Linked DNA regions of Lepisosteus oculatus. The protein of the gene in region 1 purifies or fractionates together with the protein of each later gene. This does not show direct contact. Links are inferred from orthologs where the notes say so. Each region holds a gene or a part of one and is shown in the gene's direction. Other genes may lie near its edges. The genes, in order: hscb, sdhb, iscua and sdhaf1.

Evidence for each region.
Region 2: the proteins of hscb (region 1) and sdhb purify together in Homo sapiens (co-immunoprecipitation; 3 studies listed by BioGRID and IntAct, with this or other methods). This does not show direct contact. The link is inferred for Lepisosteus oculatus from reciprocal best matches to the Homo sapiens genes HSCB and SDHB.
Region 3: the proteins of hscb (region 1) and iscua purify together in Homo sapiens (affinity purification with western blotting; 3 studies listed by BioGRID and IntAct, with this or other methods). This does not show direct contact. The link is inferred for Lepisosteus oculatus from reciprocal best matches to the Homo sapiens genes HSCB and ISCU.
Region 4: the proteins of hscb (region 1) and sdhaf1 purify together in Homo sapiens (co-immunoprecipitation; 3 studies listed by BioGRID and IntAct, with this or other methods). This does not show direct contact. The link is inferred for Lepisosteus oculatus from reciprocal best matches to the Homo sapiens genes HSCB and SDHAF1.

What each region holds. Positions count from the first base shown.
Region 1 is NC_090717.1:5,419,774-5,428,165, reverse strand, and holds the start of hscb (iron-sulfur cluster co-chaperone protein HscB), read left to right. Parts: upstream 1-4,632; 5' UTR 4,633-4,728; coding exon 4,729-5,138; intron 5,139-5,707; coding exon 5,708-5,804; intron 5,805-8,054; coding exon 8,055-8,144; intron 8,145-8,392. Other genes in the region: chek2 (serine/threonine-protein kinase Chk2), read right to left, coding at 1,089-1,142, 1,257-1,353, 1,452-1,542, 1,912-2,044, 2,284-2,408, 2,760-3,045.
Region 2 is NC_090720.1:389,000-397,151, reverse strand, and holds sdhb (succinate dehydrogenase [ubiquinone] iron-sulfur subunit, mitochondrial), read left to right. Parts: upstream 1-4,289; 5' UTR 4,290-4,353; coding exon 4,354-4,410; intron 4,411-5,516; coding exon 5,517-5,656; intron 5,657-5,792; coding exon 5,793-5,878; intron 5,879-5,985; coding exon 5,986-6,122; intron 6,123-6,209; coding exon 6,210-6,326; intron 6,327-6,641; coding exon 6,642-6,743; intron 6,744-7,586; coding exon 7,587-7,709; intron 7,710-7,868; coding exon 7,869-7,949; 3' UTR 7,950-8,117; downstream 8,118-8,152. Other genes in the region: mrpl20 (large ribosomal subunit protein bL20m), read right to left, coding at 103-180, 774-884, 1,664-1,750. UniProt on the Homo sapiens protein: Iron-sulfur protein (IP) subunit of the succinate dehydrogenase complex (mitochondrial respiratory chain complex II), responsible for transferring electrons from succinate to ubiquinone (coenzyme Q).
Region 3 is NC_090717.1:6,283,250-6,291,769, reverse strand, and holds the start of iscua (iron-sulfur cluster assembly enzyme ISCU), read left to right. Parts: upstream 1-4,883; 5' UTR 4,884-4,962; coding exon 4,963-5,061; intron 5,062-7,736; coding exon 7,737-7,850; intron 7,851-8,211; coding exon 8,212-8,322; intron 8,323-8,407; coding exon 8,408-8,486; intron 8,487-8,520. Other genes in the region: sart3 (squamous cell carcinoma antigen recognized by T-cells 3), read right to left, coding at 270-454, 810-914, 1,463-1,589, 3,667-3,852.
Region 4 is NC_090698.1:1,229,775-1,236,883, reverse strand, and holds sdhaf1 (succinate dehydrogenase assembly factor 1, mitochondrial), read left to right. Parts: upstream 1-5,730; coding exon 5,731-5,979; 3' UTR 5,980-6,339; downstream 6,340-7,109. Other genes in the region: tbcb (tubulin-folding cofactor B), read left to right, coding at 435-578, 960-1,056, 1,542-1,733, 1,842-1,914, 2,517-2,634.

The sequences.
Region 1 (8,392 bases):
AAAAACTAGCCCAGGATAAAGCAGTTTTATTAGATAACAATCAGAAAGGAAATCAAGCAGAAATTGACCTTCGAAAAAGTCTTTATAAGAAAAGGGTTCAGGCCACATTTAAAAATATTAAATGTGGCCCAGTTCCTGAGTTCTTTTGGGCTGGTGATTCAGAGCTTTGCGGCAAAGCAACAAAAGGACCCATCAACCACAAAGTACTGAGAAACACTAAAACCAGGCTTGGAATTCAGTGATATTTGATTCACACTGATCAAAACCTTCAGAAACGTGAGCACAATAACTCAAGGTAAACTGTAAGCTAGTAGCAAACATTAAGCGGTAATAACAGACAGCTAATAAATCCACCATATTTACCAGTTTAAATCTAATGGACTCATTGGCATAATATTCATCTTCAAAATTATATGTTTCTCTTTACACTTCCACAAAGCTAAAAGATCCAAGCTACAAAACAGAGATCTATTGGAAATAACTGTTAGCTGTTAGCCACCAGAAATAACTGTTAATAAAAATAAATGCTTGAATCTGTGTAATTTAAAGCTATTGAATCTGATGATCATGACAGAATTAGAGTTTTGCATGAAGGGAATGTGAAAACAGCAGAACAGTTCACAAGCCCTGATATTTGCATAGCAGTACATGTACAGTACATTAACACCTATCCCTGGGTGTTAACTTTGACTTAATATATGCAAAGTGGAATTCTTTCTAGAGAATTCTTCTTTCTAAAGCTATGAAACAGCCAGAACGAATTATATTCACATTTCCATAATTACTAGTGTATTAAAACGATGTGGGTATATAGGTTTTGTAACTCAGAGATGCAGTGTTTTTGTGTCTCCACACATTTGAAACAATTAGCATAAAATGATGTTCAGAAAGAACATGCCCTTTCTCAGTCATTTGAATGTTTGCTAAATAAAGTTACTTGTATAAATTGCTTTGTCCATACTAAGCCAAAAAGTAGTAAGAGGGTATAATTACACAAAGCAACACCTTGCAGATATTTGACTACCAAAAACCTAAAGACATCTTTAACACCCACTGACAACTGGGTGAACGGCAGGTTACTCACGTACATGGTCTACTTTCTTCAAAATCTCAATTTCTCTTTCGGCTGAAGGGTTTGTCCTCTAAAAAACAAAACATTACTTTAGCCTTTGAGTAAACCTCCAATTGAGAAGGAGCCAACAAATTCTAAAAGAATAAAAAATGACAGACCACTCCTCTTGAAATCCCACACTCACGTCAGTGGATGAAAAATCCTTCTTATTTATAGTCTTCACTGCCACCTTCTTGCATGTAGACCGTTCAAATGCCAGCTTAACTTCTCCACAAACTCCTCTGGAAGATAAGGCCTGATTCCGTTAGAAAAAAAAATCCCATCTCCCTGCCAACACCCCCTTTAGCGAGGCAACACACTTAACGACTGCTCCACTTACGATCCAATTTTTCTTGATATCAAGTATTTGTCCTTGAATTCCTTTGGGAGGTTTGACTGTTCATCAACGGTGAGGTCAATAAACACAAAAACTATAGAGAAAAAAGTAAAATATTTCATTTTAGGTACTGGGAAGTAAGAAAAAGAGTAAGACTAATGTAACATATCACCAGCTTCCCTTATACAAAATATATTTAATTAAACATTACAGGATACCTTTGGGATTCCTACAAAAAGCTATGCATGGATATGAGAACTTTAGAAATGACATAGATTATAAAGCAACAGTCTCTAGAATGGGTTAAATACGTCAGAAGAAGGAATCCTGAGCTACATGGGCAGTACAATTTAATGCAAGTTAGTTCACACACTGATGTGTAGATGTCTTAAAAACTCCTTTTCAAACACCCCACCAAAAAACAAACAAACTTAGTAACAAAAATTACACAGAAAAATTCTACCTTTGTTCTGGGGGACAGAAAGCGCCAGTTCAGCATTATTTGCCAGTGGTAACTTTTTGCCCTGTCCCATATACTGTCCGTCAAGATAGGTCCCATTCCCACTGTGGTCTTCAATATACGGAATTCCGCTTTCCTGCACAGAGAAAAGTTGGAGTGGGGAAGGGAGGGGAAGGAGGTGTTAAAAATGTGTCAGTTTCCTACAAAACTGTGACCCAATTAATCACAGCATCAGACAACTATTTCATGAATTATTTCATAATTGTCTCATAAAGAGACATATTGGGATAACAAAAGCATTAAATCTTCAAAAGGAATTGTTCCGAGTGGATACCGGAACAGTTGACCAAGGACGATAACAGAAGTACCTCCTACCCTGAATATCCTGAAGTGCTTCTTACTGTAACTTGCGTACTTTTCTGACTTTCTGATTAAGGCATTATTAAAACTGTAGTCACATCGTCTGTCTCTCCCAAACCAGTATTCATCCTTTATGCAGTCTGAAAGAAAAAGGCCAGGTTTGCCACGTTTAACATTAAACAATTAATGTTCGCAACTGCTTAAGATCACAACACACAACACAAAGAAATAATTAGTAAATCTTTCTTTATACTTCAAAGTGGCCATTTTACAATATCAGTACAAACTTTCACCTGAACACACCACTTAATAAAATGTTCGAGAACACTGAAGAAATGAACTATTTAGGTAAAGTGGCGCATTCACTTTCAGATTCATAATCAGGAGATATAACTTCTTTCTACAAGCTTCCGAAAGCCAGCGATGGCTAAATGGCACAGAACTGTCCTTTGGGACCTAGTCCAGACAGGCAGGAGAGAGCGAGCCCTCACTGTGCATTGCGAAGCCCTTCTCCATGGGCAGCAGGCGGCCCCAGGGCTGTGGGGGGGGCTCCTCCGGGTCTTCGGCCTCCTCAGGAATGGACGAGAGGTCCCGCACGGGGATGGTGTCGACGGAGCTCAGCGTGCCTGAGCCCGAAGACGAGGACGACTGGCTGGAAGACTGAGGCGCCGACGAAGAACTGGAGCTGCTCTGGGACTGGGACTGGGATTGAGACTGGGACTGGGATTGAGACTGGGACTGAGGCTGGGTGTCACTGGGGCCAGGCTCCTCAGACATGGTTAAGCTCCCTGGTTACCTTTACTGAAAGCATCAAGCACAACAGAGGCACCAGAACAGTAGTTAGTGGTCTAGCTTTCCTCTGCACACCCTTGTTTTTCCTTCAGCACAAAGCTGCTTCCTGTTGTTAACCTCTGATGCTACTTCTCATGTGGAAACAAAATCATGATTCTGCTTCCTGGCTCAGAAGAACTGGTATGTTTTTATGTTTATAGATGCAAACACAACACGTGTACCCAGGTAAGGCCAAACACTTTGACAACCACGGGCAAAACTGCATATGCTTTCGTGAACATGAGCAAATGGGGTTGGATAATCAAGCACATCAATAATGGTTGAATTTAAAATGGTAAGAAAATCACCTACCTTGGACAGGGTACTTTCGCACGTTTATGATAAAATCCCTGAGAGACAGTGGATTTTTCTTGTTTTTGAACTTTTAATAAATTATCTTGTCATGAATGTAACTTCCAATTCAAATTAACGCTGCACTTAAACACTAAACATAAAAAAAATCACAGTATTAAAAAACATAAAACGCTATATCCGAGGTGCCTTCTTCAAAGCATTCGGCACAATGCTAGTGCAGATTCCTACAAATCGGTGCAGTTCTGCACAACTTCCCGGTCTCTGGCGGCCGCTCTCTGATGTCCCGCACCCATTTAGCACATATCTGCAAATTCTCCGCAGCAAAAGAGTGGTTGTGGCCGCGCACGGTAATGCAAAGATCAAGAGTGGCTTGTAACAAAATGTTATTGTACATCTACAGTATATAGTCCTTTCATCCACAAAATCTTGAATTGCCCGAGGTAAAAACTAAATAAAGTGTTTTCATTAAAAGTTGTCATTCGTTTTGGTGGGGGTCATTATTTTTAAAAAAAATATTTCTGGCAAAGTGCCTGGCATCCCATAGTCTGTAGTCCTTGCATTACAAGGAAGCAAACTTGCACCCGTCCGCAATAACAATAACAAGAGAGCCGCCTTCTTCCCGGTGCCACATGGTAACATAGGCCGAAATAATTAAGGAAACACGTCTAAGATATGAGACACATTTCTTAACACGACTAAAGAAATCAGAAACTGTAGCTAAATCTATGCAATGAGCTCAGATGACGTACACATTAAAAGAAAAAGTAAAAAAACTGCGCCCATGACTCCCGGTCAATAAAACTAATACAGTAGCGTAAACTTAAAGAAAATACAGAAGCATGCTGTTTTCATTTTGCATGATTCATACGAGTTAGGTCATACCTGAGTTCAACAAAATCAGCTACTCACATGCCCAAAATTCCCCGATTATTCCTCAATCACAGGTAGTACATTCAACAACGCCGAAACGTTTTACAAAATCAACCAATTACAGAAGCCAACCAATCGGGGAAACTCTGGGGCAGACTGGGAAATGTAGTTCAGCCTCTGCCTTGAGACCTAATTTGGGAAATATGTGACTTAAACTTGAGGTTCGCTGACTTCCATAATATTAAACGAACCCACAAATTTAAACTAATGCATGTAAATACCATAGTATTAATACTGCATATTTACTTTTAAACAATTTTATGTTTTATATATCCAACCGGAAATAATTCTGATGCTTCCTGTTGTCTTCCCTACCCACCTCCTCCTCTTACGAGAGGTGAAGGCAGTACCGGCATGCATGGATATTGACTTAAAGGAAAAACAATGCTGATATTAAACAGGTTACGATTTGCCAGCTCACTCCGTAGAGTTTGTGGCCTAGGGCTCTATGTTGGAAATGATCAGTCTGTCTTAAAACATCTACCTTCCACGTCTGGCTGTGAAGCTTTCGTAACGGTGTTCACCTTGAATGGCTCGGGCAGCCGCCGTTCTTCTGGAGTCTGTTCAAAAACATTGCATTTTTTGGAGCACTTCAAATCAAATCAGTTCCCAGCCACTTCGCTCTTGAAACGTCGATGCGGTATGATTTCCAGGACTTTTTGCACGGTTTTGAAAAAACTACACTGTTGGAAATGCGAGGCACGACTGCAGACGCCTCCTGCGTTCTTCTGCCCGGCTTGCCTTGTCATCCAGCCACTTGATGAAAACATCAACTTCTTCGACATCATGGACTGGTGAGAAGGAATCTGGTCTGTCTGGCACTCTAAGTAGTTTGTCCACTTGAGCAGTTTCGATCTCAGGTGTCTGCGTTGGCTGACTGAAATTGTTTTCAGCGAGATCCCTCTGATATGCTAAAGTTACACATGGTTTTGTAACCTTAATGGGTTGCCATATATTTATTAAACGTTAACTGCATAAAACAGCTTTGCATTTCTTAAAACGTTTTAATTCTTAGAGAGGTCTTATAAATATTGCTATTAAGAATCCTAGTTCAGGTGGGTAACTGCGTCAGCATGCGCAGGCTGCAAAGGAACAAGTAATAGGTTTATTCCATGCTGAAAAGAGAAGAGAGACAACACAACGTTTTGGCTGTGGAGCCTTCTTCACGTGTGAGGCTCCGTGGCCGAAACGTTGTGTTGTCTTTCTTCTCTTTTCAGCATGGAATAAACTAATAATACTTGTTCCATTAAGAATCCTGTACATGCTAGTTGACTTTTTACATCTGCAGCATTTATTGCTCGACTATCATCAGATGTTGGTGTTAGTGCACCTGGTGTTAATAAACCTTTATGCACTGTTTTAGTGAAATATCCTTTGCTTTGGATGTTCGGAAGTTACAGAAAAGGTACATGCATCTTCAGCGTTCTCTTCACCCTGATAATTTCAGCCAGAAAACGCAGGTAAGCAATGCTTCCAGGTGTATGGCACGATTTCTGCAATTAGTTCTTAAACGGGCAAAACGTTGTTGTGTCACTGTGTAGACTTGTACTTCCACTGTCCACAGCTTGTTTCTGTTCAGCATCTGTACAAGTCCAATGAATAGAATCAAAACCCAGTGAACTATGGACTGGTGTTTTTTTTTGTCAATCAAATATAATTTTGCATTTCTGGTATAGTCTGTAAGTGAAGGTTCACCAGCCTCCATAGCGTGCGTGCACCTGCCAACTCTAATGTCTCCAGACATTTAAAAAAATAATCGTGTAGGCATACTCATGCAATGTTCAAACTACAAAAAAGTCAGTCTCGAATAGCAGTGGAATTACATGGCAGAAATGGCAGGAGTAACACTTAACTCCTGCAAATAGACTGAGTGTATCTGAGTACTTTGTAGTCTGGTCTGAGGATTTTGGAATTTCACATTGCAATGCAGTAGTGTTGGATATGGAGACTATTCATGTCTAAAAATAAAGACTTTGCTTTAAAAATAAATGGCTTGTCTGATTCCATTTAACTTAAGTGATATGATGTGAAATGTGTTTGGCTTGCAGAAGAGTCTATTTGATACAATATGGTGCATATTAAAGACAAGGACCATCAGTGCTGGGGATTAGCATGGTAGGGTATTAAACTTTCTCCCAAAGCACTTTCTGTTACTCTGCACCACTTTTAAAGAATTATCAGGAAAAAGTGAAAATTTGGCTTGTAATGCTATTTCAAGCCCCCAGGAAAATCTGCCTGCTGCTGATTGTTAACCATATTTAACCATATGGAGCGGCACTGACTAATTAATGCTTTTGGATATTGAGGTCCTAGGAGCAGACTGACTCTGGAGATGATCCAGTCTACAGATCAGTTTTAAATGAGGGGCTTGACTGACTGTTGGTGTTTTGTGTAGCATGATGTATGGCTGTAACATAGAAATCGGCCACTTTTAATTCTCATTGATTCCCATTGGCTGCATAAGCCTGGTATGCCCCTCTGTTGCTGAGCCCTTTTACCTTCAACTTGTCTTCCAAACATGAGATGGTTTTTCAGTTATTTCCTTTTACATGTTTCATACACACCAGCTTCTGTTGTTGGATTCAAGACATTCAACTATTCCAAGCATGACAAGACCTTTAAAAAATCAAATTTTCTTACACTCAGGACCTGGTAAGTGTAAAATTAGCCTATTCAGATGCATTCATAAAATGGCAAGCAGATCTGAATGCCAAGGTTTGGCTGTAGGTTTACAAAAGTACTGCATAATCCCACATTGACGTTAATGTAGTTGTTTCATAACTGGACTGAGTTGCATCTAAACAGTAGGCAATACACATGTACAGATCTGGTCCCCAATGTTGTGTTAATTTGTTTGAATATAATAGACCTTTTTTTTTTTTAACGCTCAAGGCACTTTGAAGCACTGCTTAGGTAATCATAACTTTTTTTGCACCTAATTTCATGTTATTATTTATGATGTAATTGATAAATGACCAGCTGTGTTGTAGCTTTTACCACGGATCAGCATAAAGCGGTTTACAGCTGCTTCTGTAATACTTTGTATACTTATTGTGAAGGTTTTGAAAATTTGGTCCAGGAAAATAGTAGCTTGCTATGGTACCTTTGTCTAAATAGTTTATTGATCTCCAGTATTAGCTTCAACAACATGGCTTGGTACCAAACCTCCACAAAAATTTGTGTAAAAAGCCTCTCCTGTTTTCAGCCATAAATATACTTTTTCATGAGCAGCTTGTAGTTGTGCCCTTTTGTACTTATTTTACTCTTGAGCATAAAGTAATCTTCTGGGCTGACCTTGTCAGCACCTTTCAGGTTTGTGAATACGTTTTTCATGCTTGGCCTCAAGACTGAAGCTGTTTAGTCCCAGATATATGTGGACCTTCTGTTTTTTCTACATTATTTTTTTAATGAAAATGAGAGGCATTTCATATAAAGAGTTATCAAGTGCTTTTTAACCTTTGGTACGTTCAAGCACATTCTGCCTGTCAGAACTAGTAACTTTCCTTTCACAAATAATTTATTATATCACATCATCAGATCATGTTAAGTATGCTACATTGAACACTGACGGAAAGGGAAAAAAATTACTTTTGGGGAAAATAAAGTCTTATGATTGCCCTGTGAGATTTCTGGAACATGTGCTGTAATAAATAGCATGCAGGGTCTTTATTGATTACTTCCTGGAAGTTATTTTGTGATGTCTCTTACAGCAGGAGCAGGAATACTCTGAAAGTCAGTCTGCCCTGGTTAACAGAGCATACAGGACTTTACTTAAGCCTCTCAGTCGTGGGCTTTATATGGTAAGTATCAGTCCTGTCAAATTAGCAGTGACAATGATACAGTACATAGATAAGTTCAAAATATTGCCATTACTTTTTGCATACAGTGAGAGAACTGACGGATGAAAACCAGCTATTGAACTAAGCCAACTCCTTGACAGGTGTTAACTTAGAATATTACAATCTTCAGTGTTTTCCTTTTTAACATTTGTGACATTAATGCAGTAATAAATGTTGCGTAATAATTTACACAAGCCTGGGAATGTATA
Region 2 (8,152 bases), on another chromosome or scaffold:
ACAGTCACAGTGTCTTTCCCCATTATAATTGTTATGTCATTATTATTAATAATGATGAAAGGGATCTAACAATAAGAACAGTAACAGTTTAGTGTGGCTGACCTTGATGAGGTTGTGCAGGAGCGCAGGGTACTTGAGGCCGTGCTCCCGGGACGCGGCGGCGATGCGAGAGATCCACAGCTGAGAGGCGGGAAGAGAGGGGGGCTGTGTGAGGAACTGCAGCGGCCCAGCGAGACCAGCAACACCTTTCGGACTGGTGCCACCTGCCCTGCTGTCCCCCCCAGTATGGCTCTGTGCTGCATCACTGCCCTGCTGTCCCCCCAGTCTGGCTCTGTGCTGTCCCCCCCAGTGTGGCTCTGTGCTGCATCTCTGCCCTGCTGCCCCCCCCAGTCTGGCTCTGTGTTGTCCCCCCCAGTGTGGCTCTGTGCTGCATCTCTGCCCTGCTGTCCCCCCCAGTCTGGCTCTGTGCTGTCCCCCCCAGTGTGGCTCTGTGCTGCATCTCTGCCCTGCTGTCCCCCCCAGTCTGGCTCTGTGCTGTCCCCCCCAGTGTGGCTCTGTGCTGCATCTCTGCCCTGCTGTCCCCCCCAGTCTGGCTCTGTGCTGTCCCCCCCAGTGTGGCTCTGTGCTGCATCTCTGCCCTGCTGTCCCCCCAGTCTGGCTCTGTGCTGCATCACTGCCCTGCTGTCCCCCCCAGTCTGGCTCTGTGCTGCATCACTGCCCTGCTGTCCCCCCCAGTGTGGCCCAGCGCCTCTCCCCGCTGCGCGGCTGCTCACCGTTCTCATGTTCCTGCGCTTGGCCTTGCGGGCCTTGGTGGCGTAGACGAAGGCACGGCGCACCGCGCGCACCGCCAGCCGGAAACAGCGGTTCTTCCTGCCCCTGAAGTGCTGCGGACACACACACACAACAGACACACACAGAGAAGGACAGAGGTGTGTGAAGAATGAATGAGTGGTCACAGCTCTCCAAGCAGCTGTACTCAGGAAGTACGCTCCATCTCCTGGCGTAAGACTCCCAGTGCACAGCAGACTGATCCATTCCAGAGTTTACAGCCTGCAGGATATGGCACGAAGGAGGAACGTAAGTTCTCAGATGAGGGTGTGCGCTTGGTCTCCCTCTGATGAAGGCATCAGCTTCAACAACACGTCTGGGTAGCTTGTTCCGTACCCCCACCACTCTCTGTGTAAAGACCTGCCTCCTGCTCTCGGTTTTAAATGCGCTTCCAGGTCCTCCGATTTCAGTCGGTGCCCTGGAGGAGTTTGAAAGCTCAGCCTGAGCAGCAGATATAACCTGCTGTCCAGATCTCCACAGCCCTCACCCTGCCCACGGAGTCCACAGGCTTAACCGGCGCCTGCTGCCGCTTCTGAAGGCGGGAACCGTCTCCCAGGTCGAGACCCTTCGAGCACAACGAGGTGCCATCAGCAGCATTACCGGCAAACTCGCAGGGAAAGCCCACGCCAGCTGCGACACCCGCTCGTGACCTCGAGCCGTCGGGGGTCAGGTCATGCCGGTACCGGGCGGAAGGCGCACTGTACGGTACCGAGGCGTGAATGAAAAGCAGCCTACAGCCACACAGGTCTCGGGGCTAAACGGCTCTTCACCCGCACTGGAATCAAGTGAGCTTGACTCGGAAATCTGAGAAGGGTGGAAGGATAAAGTCTCCTACCCGGGCATTCTTCAGAACCTCCTGGACCCTCCAGTACCGGTCTGGCCCCCGGCTCCTGATCCAACGGGACAGAGTCAGAAACACCATGCCTCCACTGTCCCTGCTTTCGCTCTCTTACTCCCTTTGTTGACCTCCTCGGCTCGGTGCGAGATGCAACCAGCGCGCTACACGGAGGCGGCCATCATGTTTGCTGCGAGGTCAGGGCTGACGCCATAGACGTTAGCCGCAGGGGCGTGTGGGAAATGTAGGCGATCCCTAGCGCCGCGCCACACGGACGCCCCCTGGCGGCTGGCGTTCGCCAAGTCTCGAATTCTGTCTGAACTCCTATGAATTGAATTTGCTCCTCCTACGGTGTTTTTTAATCATCCTGATTTGGTATCATTTGCAAACATTACTAGTTTAATAATAATAATAATTGCTTACACTTATATAGCGCTTTTCTGGACACTCCACTCAAAGCGCTTTACAGGTAATGGGGTCTCCCATCCACCACCAACAGTGTGCAGCCCCACCTGGATGATGCGACGGCAGCCATAGTGCGCCAGAACACTCACCACACATCAGCTATTAGTGGGGAGGAGAGCAGAGAGTGATGAAGCCAATTCATAGAGGGGGAGTATTAGGAGGCCATGATTGGTTAAGGCCAATGGGAAATTTGGCCAGGACGCCGGGGTTATACCCCTACTCTTTTCGAGAAACGCCCTGGGATTTTTAATGACCACAGAGAGTCAGGACCTCGGTTTTACGTCTCATCCGAAGGACGGCACCTGTTAACAGTATAGTGTCCCCATCACTATACTGGGGCATTAGGACCCACGTGGACCACAGGGTGAGCGCCCCCTGCTGGCCCCACTAACACCTCTTCCAGCAGCAACCTTAGTTTTTCCCAGGAGGTCTCCCATCCAGGTACTGACCAGGCTCACACCTGCTTAGCTTCAGTGGGTTGCCAGTTGTGAGTTGCAGGGTGATATAGTTTACTGGCTATATCACAAACTAGATCACTGATATAAACTTTAAGACTCAAATAACGTCTTATTTTTAATTAATGAACAAAACTCCAGCCTATAAAAGGCTCACATTACAAAACATCGAGGAGGACAAGAGAAAACACCATCTGAGGTGTTATTATAATATTTACGAAACAATCTTATTGATCGTTTAAAGGTCATTGAAATCCTTTCCGATTAGCTTAAAACACTGTGGTGCAAGACATAATATTGGACTGCTCGTGTTTACAAAATAATGTTGAGATAAGATGCCATTGTTACACACTATGCGTTAAAATGTCATTTGATATTTTCATCAGCGGATTTCAGAGTCAGAAGTGGGCTTGTAGAATAACGGGGAGAGATCTCACACCACAGCTACACCGCGTACAGAAACAACGCCTTTCTGCTCGTCTCCCAGGCCTAAGGAAACCGGCGAGTTAAACACAACGGTCTGTCTTTTTAATTTGGATTGTAATTCACAGCCCCAGAAACCATCTGCGCCTCTAATCGAAGGGAGTTTTTAAGAGTGAAGCGAGGCGCTTTGAGATCTATTCGGATGAGAAGCGCTATATAAATGCAAATACTTTTTACATAATCGTCTCTAATGTAGGCAACCTAGAACATCAAGAGAGGGTTAGATCACGTGTGTTTATTGTGACTGTTCTTCTGAGTGCTAAACACGCACGATGTTTCGCAATTTCAACACAAACATCTTATAAAACTGGACCGGAAGGAGATGTAGATGACGTCAAAGGGGAGGAAAGCGTGGCGGAAGAAGGCGCTGTTTCTATGCTGTGGGATTGTGGGATAGAGGCGAACAAGGTTACAGAATAGACCTCGCTATAATAATTCTCGCTAGACATTATTGGCGGCCAAGACAAGTTTTCTCCCACTGTAGGGGCAAACACCGATTGCCCTAATAAATAAACAACTTCTTAGTCAAACATTCCTAAAGTATTTCAGGTGGGTAGCTACATCAGCAGGCGCAGGCTGCAAAGGAACAAGAAAAGGTTTATTCCTGCTGAGAAGAGAAGAAAACAAACAAGGCTCCACGTTGTGATTCCTGAAATATAGTACCAATCCAAACAACAGCAAAAAACGAAACTTAAAAAAACAACTAAGAGTCTTTACCCAGCCAATCTAGTTGTTTTCACATTTACAACACCTCACAGCCTTGTCTGATCTCGGAAGCTCAGCGAGGATCGGCCTGGTCAGTACTGGGGAGCTTCAGGAAAACCCAGCTGCTCCTGTAAGTGATGTTGGTGGACCAGTAGGGGGTGCTCACTGCTTTGCACCACAATTTCCAAATCAGGTCCTCGGTATGGAGGCAGGTTAATACCCCAGGGCACTGTTCCTATGACCACGGTGACCCAGCTACCCTCCATGCTGGACACATACAATCTGCCCCCCCTACATTTCCTCCTTTATACACTGCTCAAACAGTTTCTCCCTTCTCCCCCATCGTGCTGTGCACTGGAGCTGCTACTCCAGCTGTGTCCCACTGTGCAGTGGAGACAGCGGCACGACAAGACTAACTGCACCCAGGACAAAGTCGCCCGTCGTGCGGCTTCTTTGAGAAAACTCACTGCTCCCCAGGACCTGCCGGAAGTGGCGCTCTAGCAGCCGCTGGATGTCGGTGGTGTCCGGTGTTGCTCAAAAGCTCCGGCTTGCTGACGCTCAGAGTCCTTCGGTTCCTCCAAGATGTCGGCTGTGTGCTTCTCCTTGAGGAGCGGGTCGGTCCTGGTTCCGGCCCTGAAGGTGGGTAAGGCGGCTCGGGGAGCAGCCGGGGGTTCCGGGGGGACAGAGGGGAACCCGAGACCGAGAGCGGGGCTCGGCGAACCGGTCCCGAACAGCGGAGTGCGGGTCTTGCAGCTGCCAGCAGTTACACAACCCGTCTCCTTGAGAGTCCGAGGGCCAGTGCGGCGGTATCTTGTAAAAACAGGTACAATCTGTAGACCCGCTGCTCTGCTCTGGCGGCTCGGTGTGTTGGGGGGTCGATTCTTGATAACGACTCCCCTGATAAGCCACTTTTTCAAGTTACCTTTGAACTGTGTTGCTGAGACGCTGTGACGACCGGCTCAGGCAGCGGACTGGGTCGGTGTGATGTTCGGGGTGATGTCCGCCTGGCCCCGCTTGTGCCTCGGCTCCTGTGAGGTTCAGCTGCCCGGGTTGATGGAGTTGATGGATTTAACAGCTTCTCTGTAGTGTAACAGCTTTATCCCAGGGCTTGCTGTAGTCAGTAGACCGGGCTGAGCGGGTTACACGCAGGCGCCAGGCTCTCAGTGGTTCTTTGTCATTGGGAGCGATGGAGCAGTTTGAGGATCTGTGTTCTGCTGGTCCGCCACGGGTTGTTGCTGAGATCCCCGAATTTAACTCAGCCGTTCACTGAAGAGTCTCAGACAGTGTACTTCCCAGACACACACACCTCTCTGTGCACAGACACCTACTGGATGCCCATGGGTGACTCCAGGTCCCTGCAGGACCGGAGACGCTGGTCCAGTGCTTTCTCCCAGCGCTGCTGTCTGTCGCCAGTGGCCTGGCGCTTGCCTGCCTCTCTGCGTGTAGACAGCTGCAGGTCAGACCCGTGAGTGGGGACTGAGCTGTTGCTCGGCGCCAGGGGCAGTCAGTGTGGGGAGCTGATCTGGGGTCAGCAGTGGGGCAGAGGCACAGCTCAGGTCGATGACCCCGCCGCTCGGTGTTGCGGGCGGGGGTGCGTCGGAACAGCTGTGCCGTGACGCGGCGGGGGCGGTCCGCGTGGGAAAGAGCTGCCGTCGAGCTGGTGTCTGATGATCGCAGGGAGGTCTCCGCGGGCGAGGGGCTGGGCCGTTTCTCCGGTGACGCTCGGTCCTGTGTTCCCCTGACAGCTCGCCCGCGGCGCCCAGACAGCCGCCGCCCCAGCGCAGGCCGCCGCAGCGCGCCTGAAGAGGTTCGCGATTTACCGCTGGGATCCCGACAAGCCCGGAGACAAGCCGCGCATGCAGACCTACGAGGTCGACCTCAACAGGCAGGTCACCCTGAGGGCAGCCCGTCCTGCTGCTGCACCCGCTGTGCATGTATGCGAGTGGGTAGTTGTGTGCATACGTGCTGTCTGACACTCTGTCCTGTCCTGTCCTGTCCTGTCCTGTCCTGTCTGTCTGCAGCTGTGGCCCCATGGTCCTGGACGCCCTGATCAAGATCAAGAATGAGCAGGACCCCACGCTGACCTTCCGGCGCTCCTGCAGAGAGGGTGAGCGCTGGGCTGGGCTCTGCCTGCGGGCTGAGACCCGTGTGTGTGTGTGTGTGGACTGCAGCTCACCTGCCCCCTCTGCGTTGTGTGTTTTGTGTGCTGAGCAGGTATCTGTGGCTCCTGTGCCATGAACATCAATGGTGGGAACACGCTGGCGTGCACCAACAAGATCGACGCCAACGCGGCGCGCGTCACCAAGATCTACCCCCTCCCACACATGTACGTCGTCAAGGACCTGGTCCCGGTCAGTACGCCCCCGGCAACGCCTCGCCACGCTCCGACGCCCCCCGCCTGGCCAGCCGCTGACCCCTCTCTGTCCCTCTGCCCGCAGGACCTCAGCAACTTCTACGCCCAGTACAAGTCCATCGAGCCCTTCCTGAAGAAGCGGGACGAGTCTCAGCAGGGCAAAGCTCAGTACCTGCAGTCAGTGGAGGACCGGCAGAAACTGGTACAGTGCGCCACGCCGCCGTGCCTGACCGCCGCCGCACGAGAGCCGGCGTGCCTGACCGCCGGCGTGCCTGACCGCCGCCGCACGAGAGCCGGCGTGCCTGACCGCCGCCGCACGAGAGCCGGCGTGCCTGACCGCCGCCGCACGAGAGCCGGCGTGCCTGACCGCCGCCGCACGAGAGCCGCCGTGCCTGACCGCCGCCGCACGAGAGCCGCCGTGCCTGACCGCCGCCGCACGAGAGCCGCCGTGCCTGACCGCCGCCGCACGAGAGCCGCCGTGCCTGACCGCAGTGCTGATCTTGCTCTCTGTCTCCAGGACGGGCTGTATGAGTGCATCCTGTGTGCATGCTGTAGCACCAGTTGCCCCAGTTACTGGTGGAACGGAGACAAGTATCTGGGGCCGGCAGTGCTCATGCAGGTGAGGGCTGGGACTGGGAGCACAGGGACTGGGGGAGGGGGCTCTGGGACTGGGAGCACTGGGACGGCTGGAGGGGGCTGGGACTGGGAATCGATGGGACAGCAGGAGGGAGGGGGCTGGGACTGGGAGCACTGGGACGGCTGGAGGGGGCTGGGACTGGGAATCGATGGGACAGCAGGAGGGAGGGGGCTGGGACTGGGAGCACTGGGACGGCTGGAGGGGGCTGGGACTGGGAATCGATGGGACAGCAGGAGGGAGGGGGCTGGGACTGGGAGCACTGGGACGGCTGGAGGGGGCTGGGACTGGAAATCGATGGGACAGCAGGAGGGAGGGGGCTGGGACTGGGAATCGATGGGACAGCAGGAGGGAGGGGGCTGGGACTGGGAGAACTGGGATGGCTGGGGGGCGCTAGAACTGGGAGCGCAGGGATGGCGGTAGGAGGCTGGGACTGGGAGCACTGGGACGGTGAGGGGCTCTGGGACTGGGAGCGATGGGACAGCAGGAGGGAGGGGGCTGGGACTGGGAGCGATGGGACAGCAGGAGGGGGCTGTCTGATGCACCGCAGGAGAACAGTCTGATTCGCCACAGATTTCACCTGCGGTGGGACTGTGGCACAGGGGCAGCCCGGGGTTCCAGAGATTAGTCTGGAGTAAATTTGCACAGACAGATGCTTTGAGATCAATTAAAAATACTCTTTATACATGTTTGCTGTTTTATCACTACATCTGGGTAAGAGATACACTGCTGGTAAAGCCTGGAGTGGATCTGAATGTGGGGCTTGTGTGCTGGTGCTGCTGTACTGGTGTAACTGGTGTCACTGGGCTGGTGTCTTTGACTCGCCAGGCGTACCGCTGGATGATCGACTCTCGGGACGACTTCACAGAGGAGCGCCTGTCCAAACTGCAGGACCCCTTCTCCCTGTACCGGTGCCACACCATCATGAACTGCACCAAGACCTGCCCCAAGGTACAGTACTGCCCCAGCACCTGCCCTGTAGTCCACTGTACTGCCCCAGCACCTTCCTCAGAGCACTGTAATGCCTTGTAAAACAGGTGAATTGTCATGTATGGTTCCCAGTGTGATGCTCCTGACTGCAGTGTAAGATGCTGTCTCTCTCTGGTGCAGGGCCTGAATCCTGGGAAGGCGATAGCAGAGATAAAAAAAATGATGGCGACCTACAAAGAGAAGAAGTCAGCTGTGGCCTGAAGGGGTCGACACAAATCCACCCCTGGCCCCTAAATTATCTTTGAATTGTACTGACCTGTACACCTTAACCACTCCAGCTGAGCCCAGCAGGGGGCGCCGGAGTGTGCTGTAGAGAATTGCATGATGCTGTACAGAATGGGAGGTGGGAATAAACAGTTTCTGATTAAATGGGATTGCTGGAGTCTGTATGGAACAGCAGGTTT
Region 3 (8,520 bases), about 860 kb from region 1:
TACATCAATTTCCTTTGCAGGTGATTTGTTAAACTATGCCATTTTAAAATAATATGAAACGGAAGACTATGCCTCAAAGAACAGGGTTCCTTTAATTGAGCACATTTTTACTTCCTAATATAGTCATTTACAAGGGCTCTTATTTTTTAGAAATGTGATTAAGAGCGACCTGTAAGACTTAGTGGATTGGTCTCTCCACAAGCCTGGTTGGAGACCACTGATTTCAGGACCAGGACTGGAGAGGCACCACTCTGCCCGGCGTGCCTTACCTGTACAGTTCCCAGGATAGCGTTCTCAAACTCTCTGAACGCCTCCCACACGGCCGTCCCTTTAGTCATGTGCAAGCCCACAGCTGTCAGGGCTCTTTCAAAGATCTCTCGCACTTTCTGTATCCCACCCTGAGTCCCGATCCCCCCAATGGAATACTGAGCGTATTCCAGCCAGATCTCGGGGCCTGCATTCCAAAACAACATGGCAGGAAATTAAAGAGTCCTGATGAATAATCAGTTACAACAGTGCTGGAGACATAACCTATTAGCATCTTTTTTTGGTAAATGAATAAATGTCGTTGAGCCTAAAAGTATTTCTGGTTTGACATATCTTTTGGTGGTTAAAAAGTGATAGTTTTGCAATTCACAAAATTCACATGAATTTAATAAAGCACCTTAACATCACTCAAGGAACACAAAGACAAAGAGCAACATATAAAGGAGATGGCAGGGCTTAATTTGGTATGCAAAATAAGAATGGGTCAAGCACAATCGAGCCCAGATTTTTAATAAATTGTAAAAGAAAACAGTCTTACTTACAGATGTAATCCTTGACTGCCTTCTCAAAGAGCTCATACACTTTCTCCCGATCAGAATCTTGATCTGCCATGCGTATTTCATCTTTCAGCCAGTCCAACCAGATCTCTATGTAGAAATGCATGAGACAAAATACTTAAATTTATCCACAGAAAATACAGGTATTTCCTTTACTTTTGTACAAACAAATCACTGCACGGGACTGAGGCAGTCTGTCTCAACTATCCATCTACAAGTACAAGGTGCAAAAGATCTGAACCGAGCGCTTGCAGGGACTGCGAGGGTAAGACAGGGTTAATATGCATTTTTACCTAGGGAAAAGATGATGCTCAAATTTTGCTCGTTTTCCCCTTTTCACGCAATTTAGGTCTTTATTGAAAGAATGAAAACCGACATGAATATTAAAAAAAAGCTTCACTTCCATTTTTGCAGCTCCATTTCAAACACTTGCATGTACTGGAAGTGACAGACAGCTACTGTCCTATGGGACCATGTTCGTGATCGAGATCAGTCAGACTGGTGAATCAATGGACTCCAATGTGTACAATACACAGATTGGCTCATATGTTTCTAAAGCCTGTAATCTCAGTATCTGAAAGGGGTGTTTAAAGGCAGGTTAACGAATAAGCGCAGTGAAAGAAAACATGGCCACCCACCTTCCGTGAGAGGGAAGAGTTCGCTCATCTTCTGTCGCGCTCTGTGCAGACGCACCAGCTCCCCCTCCTGGCGGAGCAGTTTAATCAGGTCCACATGGCAATTATAGTCGAAGGCGTTGATGGACAGCTGTTGGGCAAGAGCACATCACAGGTGAGCAAGCAAAGCCCAGTCCACCCAAAAACAAGACAGTGTCCAGTACTTTATACAGAGTGGGGAACAAGAGGGCCATAAACTACTAGGTCTTCTCACCGAATAACACAGAAAACTCACTGCAACTTCGGTTTTACCGGCCCATCACCACAATCTGGTAAAGTCACAGCTACCCAGAAAACAACACCCTAGAAGACAGGATGTCAGTCCCATCTCGAGACACTCACACTCACACACCTATTGAGCACATGTCTAGAAACACCCTGTGAAATCCTACACAAGAAGAACATACAAACAGCTCAGGAGCTGCCCCTGTCCAGAATCAAAGCCAGGGTTCAAGAGCTGCGAGGCACCAATGCTTACTGCCACACCTAGCTTAAAAGCACAGCCAATATTTCCTCTAGGCTTCTAAGCCCATTTGCCACACAAAACACATCCCAGTAAAGAAATGTTTTAATTAATGAATGAGCAACCCCCCCATCTAAATATCCATTTTACACCACCTGTCTTTTTTTTACTTAAATGACATGCATTGTGAAAATGGTTGCAGCTGTGGCAATAGGACACTTTAAAGTTGATCTTGTGGTCTTTATCACACATAGCACACAGGGCATTTCAAACAGGTCTTTTGTAAGAGGAAAGCAGAAAAGAAGACCATGAAGCTTATTTCTTTGAAGCAATACTTTGTCTTACTAGTCTTTCGTCAAAAGATTAAAGATTGGCTATATGTAAGGGAGCTGAAACGCTGTCTTCTTCCCAAGCCAGTTATCAGCTAACACAGGCATGTGAAAACAGATTTCTGTTTCTCCACTCTCAGACAATACCTTCCCTGCCACCAAGTAAATGGAGCCCATTATTTAGCCTTATACATAATTTATCATTATAACATGCAACCTTATGCAGCATGTCATTCTCATTATAATTTATACAATGTACACATTCAAGACTAGAAAGATCATATTTGCTAAGGATTTAAAGTCCATTTGGCTACATTTAATTAACCTCTGTGCTATGATCCCCGCTCTTGTGTGACGACTTTCCTCTTTAGCTCTTAATTGCCTTCCATTGCTTTCACCCATAAAATATTTCACCGCATAACGACTCTCTGCGCCTGTTTCTTTCCCTGGCTTGTTTTTCCGATTACAGACACCCTGGACAAGAGCGAGAACAGGGGTAAGGGTTAATGGTAGCACAAGTTTCACACCCGGTAAAAGGATGACGGCCAGTATCCTTATGTTAATCAAACGCTAAAAGAGAGCTAAAAAGATCGATTTTAAGGATTAAACGCAACGACTCGTCAATTGTATTTCAGTAATGTCACTGCTAGCAGTGTCGGGCATAAACAGTACAGTACTTGCAAGTCAGTAAAAACGGGGTTTTATCGGGGAATCGTCACGTGAGGTTAACCTATATCTAGAGGGGCACACGATCGTTACTGACTTCTGGGCTTCCGCTGGGAGCTCAGAGGACGACAGAAATAAACCCCGCTTCTCTAATCATGCAAACCCGCCGCACACCAGCATTTACAACAGCCTCCTGCACCATTCGGCAAATCTGCGCAGCACGCCGGGCGATGCAATGTGTCAAAACCGAGGGGTTACGTACGTACACACAGTTTAATTACATTCGTATTAAAGTGCACAACCTCCGAAGTGAAGCAACGGTGATTGTGAAGTGTAGCTAGCTAGCTCTGCGTTTCGGTAAGTACGTTGCTTTCACCTGCATACGGTGCGCCTGCTTGCTAAATGAATGGGCGTCGGAAAGGACTAGATAGCGCAGTAATTTAAATCCCCAGGCGTGTATGAATATGCAGCTATAAAATACATTTTTTTTCATTAGCGGTCCAATTGCGTTTTCTCAACTGATATGCCTTTTGCCGTTTCCACGGCCTGCATTCGCCTAGAGCTCGTAATTTTTTTTGTGCAGTTAGGACTTTAGAAGGAAAATATTACTGCTGGGCTGCAGTTTAATTAAACACCATTTGCTAAGTGAATCATTCCATGTCGGTGGTGCACTTGCAATATCGTCCAGCCCCATTCATTCATTTCCTTACTTGTTCCTCCAAGCGCTGGATTTCAGCCTCGTTTTCCTTCTCATCGTCCGAGGAGTCTCCCTCCTCCTCATCGGACCCTTCGACTCCCATGCCTTCCTCTTCTGACTCCATCTCCCTCTCTCCGCCGGCCGCTTCTTCCTCCATGTCTTGCAACTGCGTCTCCTCTTCGCTCCCCGTCGCCGCCATGTTGGGACTCGATCTGCCTGGTAACAGCGGTGAGCTGCCCAAGACACCGCCCGGCCCCACGAAAAAAATCACAAGGCGGAAAAATATACAACGCAGCTCAATGAAAGCGCGTCGACCTCCTTCATAAATTAACGGTGGGAAAGGGCAGTCAATCGCGATACGATTTATACGTATAATTTCACTTGAGTCGACTCGGATGTTCAGGCGATTTCACAGGTGTTCAGACGCACTTTTTCCTCAGGACCTTCAGTCACAAGGGACCAGCAGCGCTTGCAGTGAACCACGTGATTCTATTAATGCAGCGGAGGGCCATGTTTCATAGGGTCTTCGAGTAATGATAGAGTGTTACCGTAGTAATAGTTAAAAAATTCCCACCCCCTACGAATAACAGAGTGAATAAATATACACCAGACAACTACATCATTATGTTTCATTTTACACGTAAATATTTTTCCATTCAACCATTTACCGGGCAACCTTGAATTTTCAGTAACGGCTTCGTCCAATACACGGTCAATTAATACAGCATTAATAAAATATATATTTTTTTAAGTACGGTATGTGGAGTTCGGACTTTTATTAAGATACAGACGAAAGTGCAGTTGTCACTGTCCCTCAGTATCCCAGTTTTCTTGCACGTTAAGTTAAGGTTGTGTAAGCCTACTGTTTCATAAGCTTTTGAGCATTTCCTCCTGCTGTGTTGATTTTTCTTTACAATAAAACGGATTGGCAGATGGGAAAGAATAGGTGTACCCCTCTTTTATTTTTCAAAAATTTAATGCAGCATAAAATAATACAAAAAAGTGGAGAAACGGCCTCCAAAAAGACGGGAACAAATCAGAACGCTGCCAAGAGTTCATTACGAATCCGAACAGAATCGGTTACAAAATGAATATCCGTCAATGGTGTTGGTGCGTTCGTGATGTTTCGAATGTAATTGCTTAGGTAATATTGCATGAAAGAAATGTCCTTTGCAAAACGTGTGGGAGGAGGGGGGGGGGGGGTATTAGACGCAACTCCTCCCCCCGTTACGCACGCGAGCAGGAAGGTGCTTATGCGCTCGCTCCGGCTGCCTCGGGACAGTTGCTGTCTCGCATCCTCGCTGGAAAGATGGCGGTGGCGATGGTGAAGCGGTGTTGCTCCCCGCTGTTTTTCTTCAGAAGGCTTTCGGCGCCGGAACTCACCGTGTCGTTGCCTTATCACAAAAAGGTATCGTGGAAACAGGGCCGTCTTTCACCGCTGCCGTCCGGGTGTCTGCATTCTCACCGTTTGCGTTCCCGACTCTTTTTTTATGTCGTGCGTATGTCGTAATGGGATACCTACAGGGGGCGTTCCTTGCTGGTGTAACTTTTAACTGCGTTTTAGAAAAACACACGCTTTCGACAACGACACCTACAAAAAGAAGCAGCTGTGGGAATTGGCCATCCGATTCCAGGTGGAGTTTAAAACCCCTGTTTTGTAACGTTGTTTTTAATGTCACCTCGTGTGACGGCATCGGGTCGGGTCATGTTTTGCCTGTAACGACACGGCGGTGAACCCCTCCGTGTCTTCTGTATTTGATAAGCGACACTGTTGCCTTTAGAATTTTTCAAGACGTAAAACGTTTCAAGGCGTTTTTTAATCTTATGCTTGGACTGAATCATGCAATACGGCGCGCTGTTATGCTGTCATTAATGCCGCTATGCGCGTAGCGGCGAGACGACTGTAGTGACGTAAACGCAATACGGATGACTTGTTCTATTCTGCAGTTTTTCGAAAACTTGAACCGCTTTGATCCAGTCAACAGTTAAACCAATTTGTGTTTGAGAGAACGGTATTGTAAGTACTTTCAGCGGGCATCGAGCTGTCTCCTACAATACCCCGCTCGCTAACTAATTAACTGACGAGAGAAGATAGTGCTTTTCCCTACGTGTGTGTTTGGGGCATGCATTATCAAGTTCCTTTATGTAAATGGAATGGATGGTTTTAAGACCTTCTTTATCATTAATAATTCCTTACATTTAGAACTTGTCAACCACAATGAACATGAGGGGACTTACTTCATACATCACTGTGGGTGTGCAGTGTCCATGTGGATCAAGTGCAGCAGCCATTCTGCACGAACATCTCCACTGTACTGTAGATCAGATGGAGGATCAGAGATGCTTCACCCGTTGAATGAGACATTAAACTAATTAATTCAAAGACTGGCACTTTCTGTTGTGCATTTTGCACCCTTGGTCACAAGAGCACCACCTACTGGTCCACCAACACCACTTACAGGAGCAACCCAGTTTTTCCTCAGAGGCTTACTGTACTCTGGTTCCGGTACTGACCAAGTCTAGCCTTGCTTAGCTTCTGAGATCAGACAAGATCAGGCTCCGAGGTTGTGTCACAACAGCACATTTAAGTACCCGCTACACTTGTGAGAAGAAATCTGGGTCACTTAAATGTTTATACCATGCTTAGAGCTAAGCTGTTTTTGTCCTGGCTAGCATTAACCCACCTTTTGTCTGTCACTGACATGGTGGTGATTTCTGCTTGGCAGAGTGAAGATGAACAGCCTTGTCTGGATTACAGTGCGTGGTAAAATGGGCATTTGCATTAAGTTGTTAAGCCCCTTGGGTAAGCGTTCCCAGACATGACCTGAGTTATGTGATCTTCCTTTGCAGGGTACAAAAGGTGATGGCACAAGAGATGAGTAACAACGTGTTTATCATCTGTCCTAATTTGCTGAAGCATGAACTTCGGAAACTGATTGCAAGCTTTATTCGGAGAGGAATGACACTCATTCAGAGTGTGCTTTTCAAGAACGATTCATGATTCACCTTTTTATTGCTTGTCTTGCCACAATATAATGATTAGACACACATGTTTTTCTTAGCGTTTGTTTGTGAGGCAGTATTGTCTGGACTGGGGTGGCATGATGGCGCAGTGGTTGGCATGGCTGCCTCAGAGTGCTGGGGCTCCTGGGTTGCTGTCTGTGTGGAGTTTGTACATTATGTTTTCCCCGTACTCACATGGGTTTCCTCCAGGTGCTCGGTCTCCTCCAACAGTCCCAACTCATACTGGTAGGTTAATTGGCTTCATCCAGGGAGTCTCCTGCCTTACTCCCTTGCTTGCTGGGACAGGCATCCGCTCCCCTTCAACCCTGTGCAGGTCAAAGTGGTTAGAAGATGGATGGATCATGTCCGGACTTGAGAATTTGAGAATGACCTAGAGATTTTTTAAAAATAGATTCAGATACTTGGGATGAGACGGGGACCCAGACTTTTTTCACTCAGATTCGTGAATATCTAGTTTTATAAATGTTTTTTTTTTTTGAAAGCATAGATTATTGTAAACTATATGGCATTGGGGGGAAAAATTACCTGGGCCCAATTGCACTATAATGATCAGGTTGTGTGAAATGTTACCCACACAAGGTTTTCCTTTGCTGGTCACCATTAAAAATAGTTACCCTCAGTTTCACGCAGATGCCACATTTTACAGGAATCATAATCTTGTGTTCAGCTTTGTCTGTAATCTATTAAAGCCCCATTAGCTTCATCAGTAAACCTTAACCTGCTGTTTGATGTGCAAATTACAATGCTCGACTATAAACCTGCGGCCTTATTAATAGAGTATATCCAGTGTCCATCCACCCCCCGAGAGTGTGACTCGGTGCTGCCCAGAATACTCTATTGTAGGGAGGGGATGAGGATCAGGTGCTTAAACGTACGATTGACAAGATAATCAGCCTGTTTTTCAGTAGATCAGTCTGTTCTGGTTTTTGTTTTGGAAGGTGGTGGGACTCCTCTTACTTTTTTTTTTAAATGGTGTCCTTTAAAGTCTTCCACCCATGGGGTCACGATTGCAATAAAGACATAGAAGAATAAATCAGGGACATTTTTGTTTCTTTAAAGGTGGTGGATCATTATGAGAACCCCAGGAACGTGGGCTCCCTCGACAAGAATGCAAAGAACGTTGGCACTGGACTAGTGGGAGCGCCCGCATGTGGCGATGTCATGAAATTACAAGTAAGTTAGCTGTGCAGTTACCTGTGCATGATACACCCTTTACATTCCTGTTCTACTGTGATTGCCACATTTGCTATGATAATGTGACCTTAACTGAATACAGCTACCATCCAATTATATTTAACACGTACTTTGTCAGGATAGATACAAAAAGTGTTATGTGCTTAGCTTTTGAAGCTTTAAAGCGAACTGTTCTTGGTATCCATGGCCATTACCAGATGAGCTTGCGACTCCCATGAGACTTGCGCTCGTATGGGATGTTTGCAGTAGAGAACAACTAAATTAAGCTCACGTTTTGGATGAGAAGTATTCACAGTTTTTAGTAAACCCTGACCTTGAATTTGGCCCCGTGTCTTTGCAGATTGAAGTGGATGAGCAGGGGAAGATTGTTGATGCCAGATTTAAAACGTTTGGCTGTGGGTCGGCAATTGCATCCAGTTCTTTGGCAACAGAGTGGGTTAAGGGCAAATCGGTAGGTAACTTTTTACACGATTATTTTTGGAACATTTATCTTATTTGCAAGGATTTAATCACTGAATTTGCTCTTTTCTTTGCAGATTGACGAAGCCCTTAAAATCAAGAACACTGAAATTGCCAAAGAACTTAGCCTTCCTCCTGTCAAACTGCATTGCTCAAGTAAGTTAATGCACTATTGTTTCCAATCTGTTTT
Region 4 (7,109 bases), on another chromosome or scaffold:
CTCTGACTGGGGAGGGTCAGTGAGGCTGTGTGTCTCTGACTGGGGAGGGTCAGTGAGGCTGTGTGTCTCTGACTGGGGAGGGTCAGTGAGGCTGTGTGTCTCTGACTGAGGAGGGTCAGTGAGGGTGTGTGTCTCTGACTGAGGAGGGTCAGTGAGGGTGTGTGTCTCTGACTGAGGAGGGTCAGTGAGGCTGTGTGTCTCTGACTGAGGAGGGTCAGTGAGGCTGTGTGTCTCTGACTGAGGAGGGTCAGTGAGGCTGTGTGTCTCTGACTGAGGAGGGTCAGTGAGGCTGTGTGTCTCTGACTGAGGAGGGCCTTAAATCTGAACTGCCCGGCGACGTGTTGGGCAGCCGATGCGCAGCCCCTGTGCAGTGAGCTCCCCTCGCTAAGCGGCTGTACCCACTCCTGCTGAGTGATGTCCTCTGTGTGCCGCAGACCAAGCTGGAGATGATCGTGGGATCTCCTGCGTCCCGCATGGAGCTGCAGCTCTTCAGTACGACCGACAAGTTCCTGCAGAACCTCGACGACAACGAGGCGCTGCTGGGCTCCTACCCTGTGGACGACGACTGCAGGATACACGTAGGGCATCATCGCTGGTCTCTCCGCTGTCGTGTCAGCTGGGCCTCGCGGCTGTCGCAGGGCGAAGTCCGGGGCCCTCCTCTTGTGTGGCAGTCCAATGCAGGACTGTGTTGTGGTGCACAATACTAAACTGTATTGTGAGGATTCGATAGTCATGCACTCTAAAACCAGCATGTACTTTTTATGACAGTAGTTATTCAGGGATGTCGGTGAAATGTCTTGGCTTAAGTTGCATATCAAAGCACCTGAAGTGTATTTACCAGTACCACTTTGTATACAATACTAGTACGATTTTTAAGAACTGCTGTTTGCATTCATGATTTCTTTGTGTTAAGAAGGCTCTGGCCAGGATCTGACTCTCCAAACCTTGTGTGTGTGAAGGTGATTGACCGGAGTGGGGCGCAGAGCGGGGAGTTCACCGACCTGTCCAGAGTGGAGAAGTTCGAGATCTCCGATGAAGCCTATGAGAAGAGATCAGGTGCGTCACTCTGGCCGCCGGCCTGCGCTGCTCTGGGATGGGACAGAGTCAGATGAAGACACTCTTAATTCTAAAGAGAAAACAATACGTGTTTCATTTGGCCAACATGTTATATAACTTACAAAACAATGCATTCACTTGTCACAGCCTGGCTTTCACAAATACTGTTCTGATCTCCTTACTGGCTTGGTGAAAAAGGACAGCTGTTTGTGTTTTCCTGCAGAGGTTACATTCTTTGATGACATCTTTGTGCAGCTCCTCTAGGCAGATGGGCCCGGCCACTGATTTAATTTTCTGTCCGATGGCCGGGACGGTGAGGTTTTATTATGATGGCTGCTTGCACTCAGCCTGTAGACGGCAGTGCACTCAGTCATGAAGAGGGCTGTGATCAAAGCTGACGTCCCACCAGGAGCCTTTTGGCCAGAATCCCCAGGCAGGAGCTGGTGTGTTGGGTTAATCCTGTGGCGTTGTGCCCCTGCCACCAGACTCTGTGCGCTCCTTCATGAAGAAGAAGAAGGTGGGCCGCTTCAATGAGGAGGATGTGGAGCGCCAGAAGGCAGAGCAGGAGCAGAAGGAGAACGAGGAGAAAGCCCTGACCGAGGCCATCGCGGTGGGCGCCCGCTGCGAGGTGCGCGTCCTGGGGCAGCCCCCCAAGAGAGGGACCGTCATGTATGTGGGTGAGTGCGTCACCGGCGGGCCTGAGCCCCCTGCGAGGGCCGGTGAGCTTGCGTCTGTCTGCCTCAGGGCTGGTCCGTTCAGTGAGTCTCTTGCTGTTCCAATGGCAGGTCTGACGGACTTCAAACCAGGTCACTGGGTAGGAGTGAAATACGATGAGCCCCTGGGGAAGCATGATGGCAGGTAAGGAGAGTTTTATAAATTAGATGGAGGTGGAGTACCTGTATTTAAAAGACTTGAACATTGCAAATTAATTGTAGTAGTGTGTAGTTACCATGTGATTGGGATAGTTACCTTTATTCTCAAATAGAATAGAATGGTATTCCTTCTGATTTTTTCATTTGATTCGTGAGGATGCACAACACAGCAAATGTTTAGAAAAGACTCTTGCTGTGACCGGGGATCTGTATTCCTCTCCTCTTCTCTTAAATTGACCGCATGTTTGACATTTTGCCTGTGGAGTTAGGAAGTCAATCATTTTAATTTAAAATGATTTCACATGCACAAGAGTTACAACCGCAGAAGTGTTCTAGATTTTTTTTTTTGCCCGCTTTATTTATCTTAGGTTTATTTTTCTAGATTTATTTTTTTAGTTTGAAAGAATTGTTTTTCATGTAGTAACAGCTCACAGAGCTGTGTATCTAGCAGTTTGGGTTAAAAAGCAGGAGAAGATGGAGCTCCTGCAGGCTGCAGCCTCTGCCCATTATCCTGCTGCATCAGATGAGTGACAGTTCAGTGGGTGAAGCCCGTGCATTCGGACAATGTTGTTGTTGTTGTTGTTTCAGCGTCAACGGGAAGCAGTATTTTGAGTGCCAGGTCAAATACGGAGCCTTCGTCAAGCCACAGGTGGTGGTGGTGGGGGATTTCCCCGAGGAAGACTATGGCTTGGATGATGAGATGTAGTGGTGAGGAGGGAGCAGGGAGGCCCGGAGACCGCTGCTGTGCTCTGCGTGTGCTGCCGCTCCTGGTGCACACTGGAGTGTCTTCTCACGTTGTTAAAATACTGTATATATTTTGAAATGTGCAACAACTTTTTTTCAATTAATGGAGGAGTTGATTTCAAGACTTGTCTGTCAGATTAACTGCGAGGTCATCAATGCCTTATTTAAATTTATACTTTGAAAGTGTTTTTTTAGTATATTGTCTACTTATTAATGCTAAAGCTTGTAGAATTCAACTATCACTCTGTGTGCAAGTGGATGCAGTTTTCCCTGTGATCTCTCTGCTAAATTTATGTATTTAAATAGGTGTAATGTTGTTAACATAGGTGGGGACTGTGATCATATCTAGGATGTGTCCCTTTTTATGTATAGATAGGCTCATTTAAGTGGCGTCATTGTACAGTATGTTGTTCTGAGTGATTGAGCTTGGATATTAGTCTGCATGTCTGAGTTAAACTGTACAAGTCTCATTCACACCATCACACACTTTGAACTCAAGGTCTGTTCTATCAAGTGGCAAAATGCTCCTAACAAGGTTCACCTCTGAAAGAAGTAGGCCTTCTTTATTTTTGTAATTCAAGGTAGAGATTGTTTTGTTTACCAGTAGTGGTCTGGTATGTTCTCCATTTTTATTGAAGTGAACCTTTGCAGCAGATGAAGTGTGATAAGGCCTCCTGCGTTGTGAGATCCAGGCACTTCTGACAAAGCTGTGCTGATAGTTATTCTAAAGATTGCATGTTCTAGGGGACTTTACCTTCATGTTTAGCACAGGCTGATGTGAGAACTTAAACCAAAGGGTCTTTTAGAAGTTGCCAGTTTGCGAGGTGGAAACAGGAGTCCCATCAGTGGGAGACCTTTCCTCTCGTGTTAAAGAGGAGGCCAGTGGAAGCTGTCCTAGGCTGCGGTGTGGTGCCACTCACAGCTCTGTCTGAGCTTGCCATTTCCAGTTCAGAGCAACTGAGAAACTGACAAGGTCTAATTTTCAAAGAGCTTGAATTGACTGAAATAATTCCTTTTACTATGCACATGAGTTACTGAGGAGTTTTGTGCCAAAGTGTCATGATATATTTGTACAGTATAAATAGAAAACTATTACTAATCCGGATCCCAGACAAGGCACATGTAGTGAGTTGCACTTTTGTTTTGAACACTACCGGTCCAATGTTTTCTCCACAAAGGCAGTGTTGCGCAGACTGCTGCAGTACTGAGCCGAGAAGGCAGAACTGCCCTCTTTATTATGGCACGCATTTCATTTCTATGGAAAAGGTCCCAAATCAACCAACTATTGAAGGATAACTCTTGAGTTGAAAGCACTGTTTTCTTTGCTGGCTATGTCAAGTATTGGTCATCAAAATGAAGCATCAGATTTCATGCGCAATATACTGTATGCATCCTGAACCTGAATTTACACCATGTTGACTCTGTGATGGGGGGAAAAAACTACTAAGTTGTTAAAAAAATGTCTTAATTTGTCATTAAAAAGCACTAATGAAGTTCCAAATACCAGGTCTGTGGTGGCTTTATTCCTGTGCTGTAAATGATATGGTTTGGGAAACTAGTTTGATGGTGGCTGTTCTAACTTGTAATAACCTCTGGTGTCGATCGTGCCTCCATGGCTGTCCTGTCTGGGCGCTGTGTTGAACTGGAGGGGTTGTGCAGCAGCTGTTGGGCTGTCCCGGAGGGGTGTTGGACACTTGTACAGCACCTCCGCACAGGGGTCTGGTCACAGAATCTGAGTGTGCCGTACCAGATTCTACCAGGAAAACTTCAAGTGCCCGTCATGAGCAAAAGCACAAGGACTGTGAAATGAGCTCTGCCAAGGATGCACTACGCAGTAGAGGCCATGATGGACGAGGTTTCGTTTTCCAGAAGCACTGAATGGTGAAAAGGCTTTGTACAGAACAGTGAAGGGCTGACAGAATCTCCCTGCAGTGCAAGATGCTTGCAGCTCCCAAGTAAACTGAAGGTAACCTCTCAAAACCTGTTTAAAAAAAATCCGTCTTCCCTTTCCGTGCCTGGCCTGCGCTCCTGGGGGTTCGGAGAGAGCCGAGGTGCGTGCGCGGCGGGTGTTCGCGCTGTCCAGCAGAGGGCGCTGCAGGGGGGTCGAGCTGCTCTGCAGATGGAGGCCTGTCTTGCCAGCGGGCCGGACTCGGTGTCATAACAACAAGGTTATGTCTGCTGCGCTGGCGGGCGAAGCGAGGTGCACAGGTTGCACACGACGAGCTGGAAAGTCAGTGTATCGCTCAGCAGCTGTACGCAGGTGACGTTGGCTGACAGATATTACCTATTGTCACGGTAATTGTTTTTAAAATACCTACAGGAAAGTATAAATGTGCTAACCAGTGCTAATATCTCATCGTTATTTGGTCATTTTTGTTTCATGGTGTCTGTATCTGTCGTTGGGAGTTCTGTGGAGATCAGATAATGGCTTGTCAGTGTTTTTTTTTTTTAAGACAAAGTGAAGGTGGCAGGAGGAATATGATTCTGTTAAATGTATTCATTAGAAACATTGCCGTTTGCAAGAACGATTAATATTTTGGGAATGACTGTGTAGAGACTCGACCGACACCTCCTGTCATCCCTGTCGCATTTTAGGGGTATTTTATCCATCGGTAAGATTCAGATGCCTTCGGGTCACACTAAAACACTCCTAGCACCGCTGATTTGTGACCTTATAAGAATGTTCCCTGTTATTCTTAATAAAGCGTCATCAAACGTTTTGTGGATCATTTGCGTTGTGCTGTCTGGGAAGTGCCCGAGGGACTCGGGAGTGTTTTCAGTGGAAGGGAAGGGACACGGGAAGACTGTTGATCAGCCACACTGCTCTGGGAGAAGACGTCAATTAAACTAACTCACCTCGGGAGAAAATAAAGCTTTCGTTGGTTACAAACAACACTTTGTCTTGTACGGAGTAGTTTTCACTTGGTTGCAGAGCTGAAACTCGGATTTCTAACGCGCAGATCGAAGCAGACGACGCGTCCCGGTCAGGCATGCCTGAGTGACCCCTCTGAGCTGCTGTCCTGTGGTTTCAGGTCCACCCAGGCGGCCCCTCCTCGCCATGCTGCGCCACAGCAGGCTGCAGAAGCAGGTCCTGGCTCTGTACCGGCAGCTCCTGAGGGCCGCGGCGCACAAGCCGGGCTTCCTGCCCCGGATCCGGGACGAGTTCCGCCAGAACGCCAGCATTCCCAGGACTGACGTCATGCACATCGAGTACCTGTGTCGGCGCGGGTGGCGGCAGCTGGAGCAGCTCGGTCACGCCACCACCCGGCGGCTGGGCGCCTTCTCCAGGCCCGGGGGGCGCGGCTGACCCCCGGCTGGCACTGCGCTCGGGGGCGGAGAACTGGACCTGCCGGGTCCATTTCAGGTGCCAGCGGCTCCTATCCGTCCGCCTCTTCATTCCCCTGACTGCTCTGGCAGGAGAGGCAGCTGGTTAGTCACGCCCCGGCCGTCGGTCCGAGGCGGCTGGTCAGTCTACCGCAGGGTCACTGGACTGCAGAGCCTTCAGCCCGCAGCACAGCTCGGGAGCAAGACTCATCGGGCTCAAACCCGTCGAGAGGCCGCTGTCACATCTCCATAGTGGAAGGATTTGTAATGCCGATATTGTAGTTTGCGTTATTTCTCACAGACTGTTTTAATAAAATAAGTTTAATTGAACAAGAGAATGTAACATTGGTCTCACTGTTTCTTAAATCTTCCATAGTGGTTCCTGACTTGAACTTCTGTTATTTCGCTGTTCATTGGGTATTGCTGTAGACTTTCTGTAATCAGATACACATCAGGCTACAACTCAGTTGGTTGGCATATTGCCTTCTGCTACAGGTCAGTTCCTCTCACATGCTTGTAACGGAAATAAATTGATTTATTTTCATTGATTCCATCCCATCGTTCAGAATTTCTCAGTTTCACGTGTAAACACTGGCTGGGTGCGTGAAAAGCAGGAGCTTTTGAAGAAACATTTGTTTATTTTCTTGCACTGCATTTGTTTCTTTTGTGCTATAATAACAATAAATGTGCTATGTAATAACAATACATTACACTTCTTCAGCGCTTCTCTGGACTCTGCACGCAGAGCGCCTCACAGGGAATCACAGAGCCACTGCTGTCGGAGTTCCTGGCCGCTGATCCGGCTGTCTGTCACGGAGGGTAACAACACGCACAGCAGGCAACCAGTCCAGACAGCCTTCCTGGACCTGAGCCCTGTGCAGACCAGTTGGCCACGGTTTTTAGGGAGTTTTTGTCTACTTGGTTCTTAGTCTTTCACTTTTACAATCTTCTGTTCCCTTGTGTTCTACTAAATCATACCTTCATACCAGTGCCGAAGAAAAATACTGCAACCAGTTTAAAGATTACAGGACGGTTGCGCTCATGTCCACCATAATGAAATGCTTTGAAAGGCTGGTCATGAGGCACATTAACACAATGGTGCCTGAGGTCTTA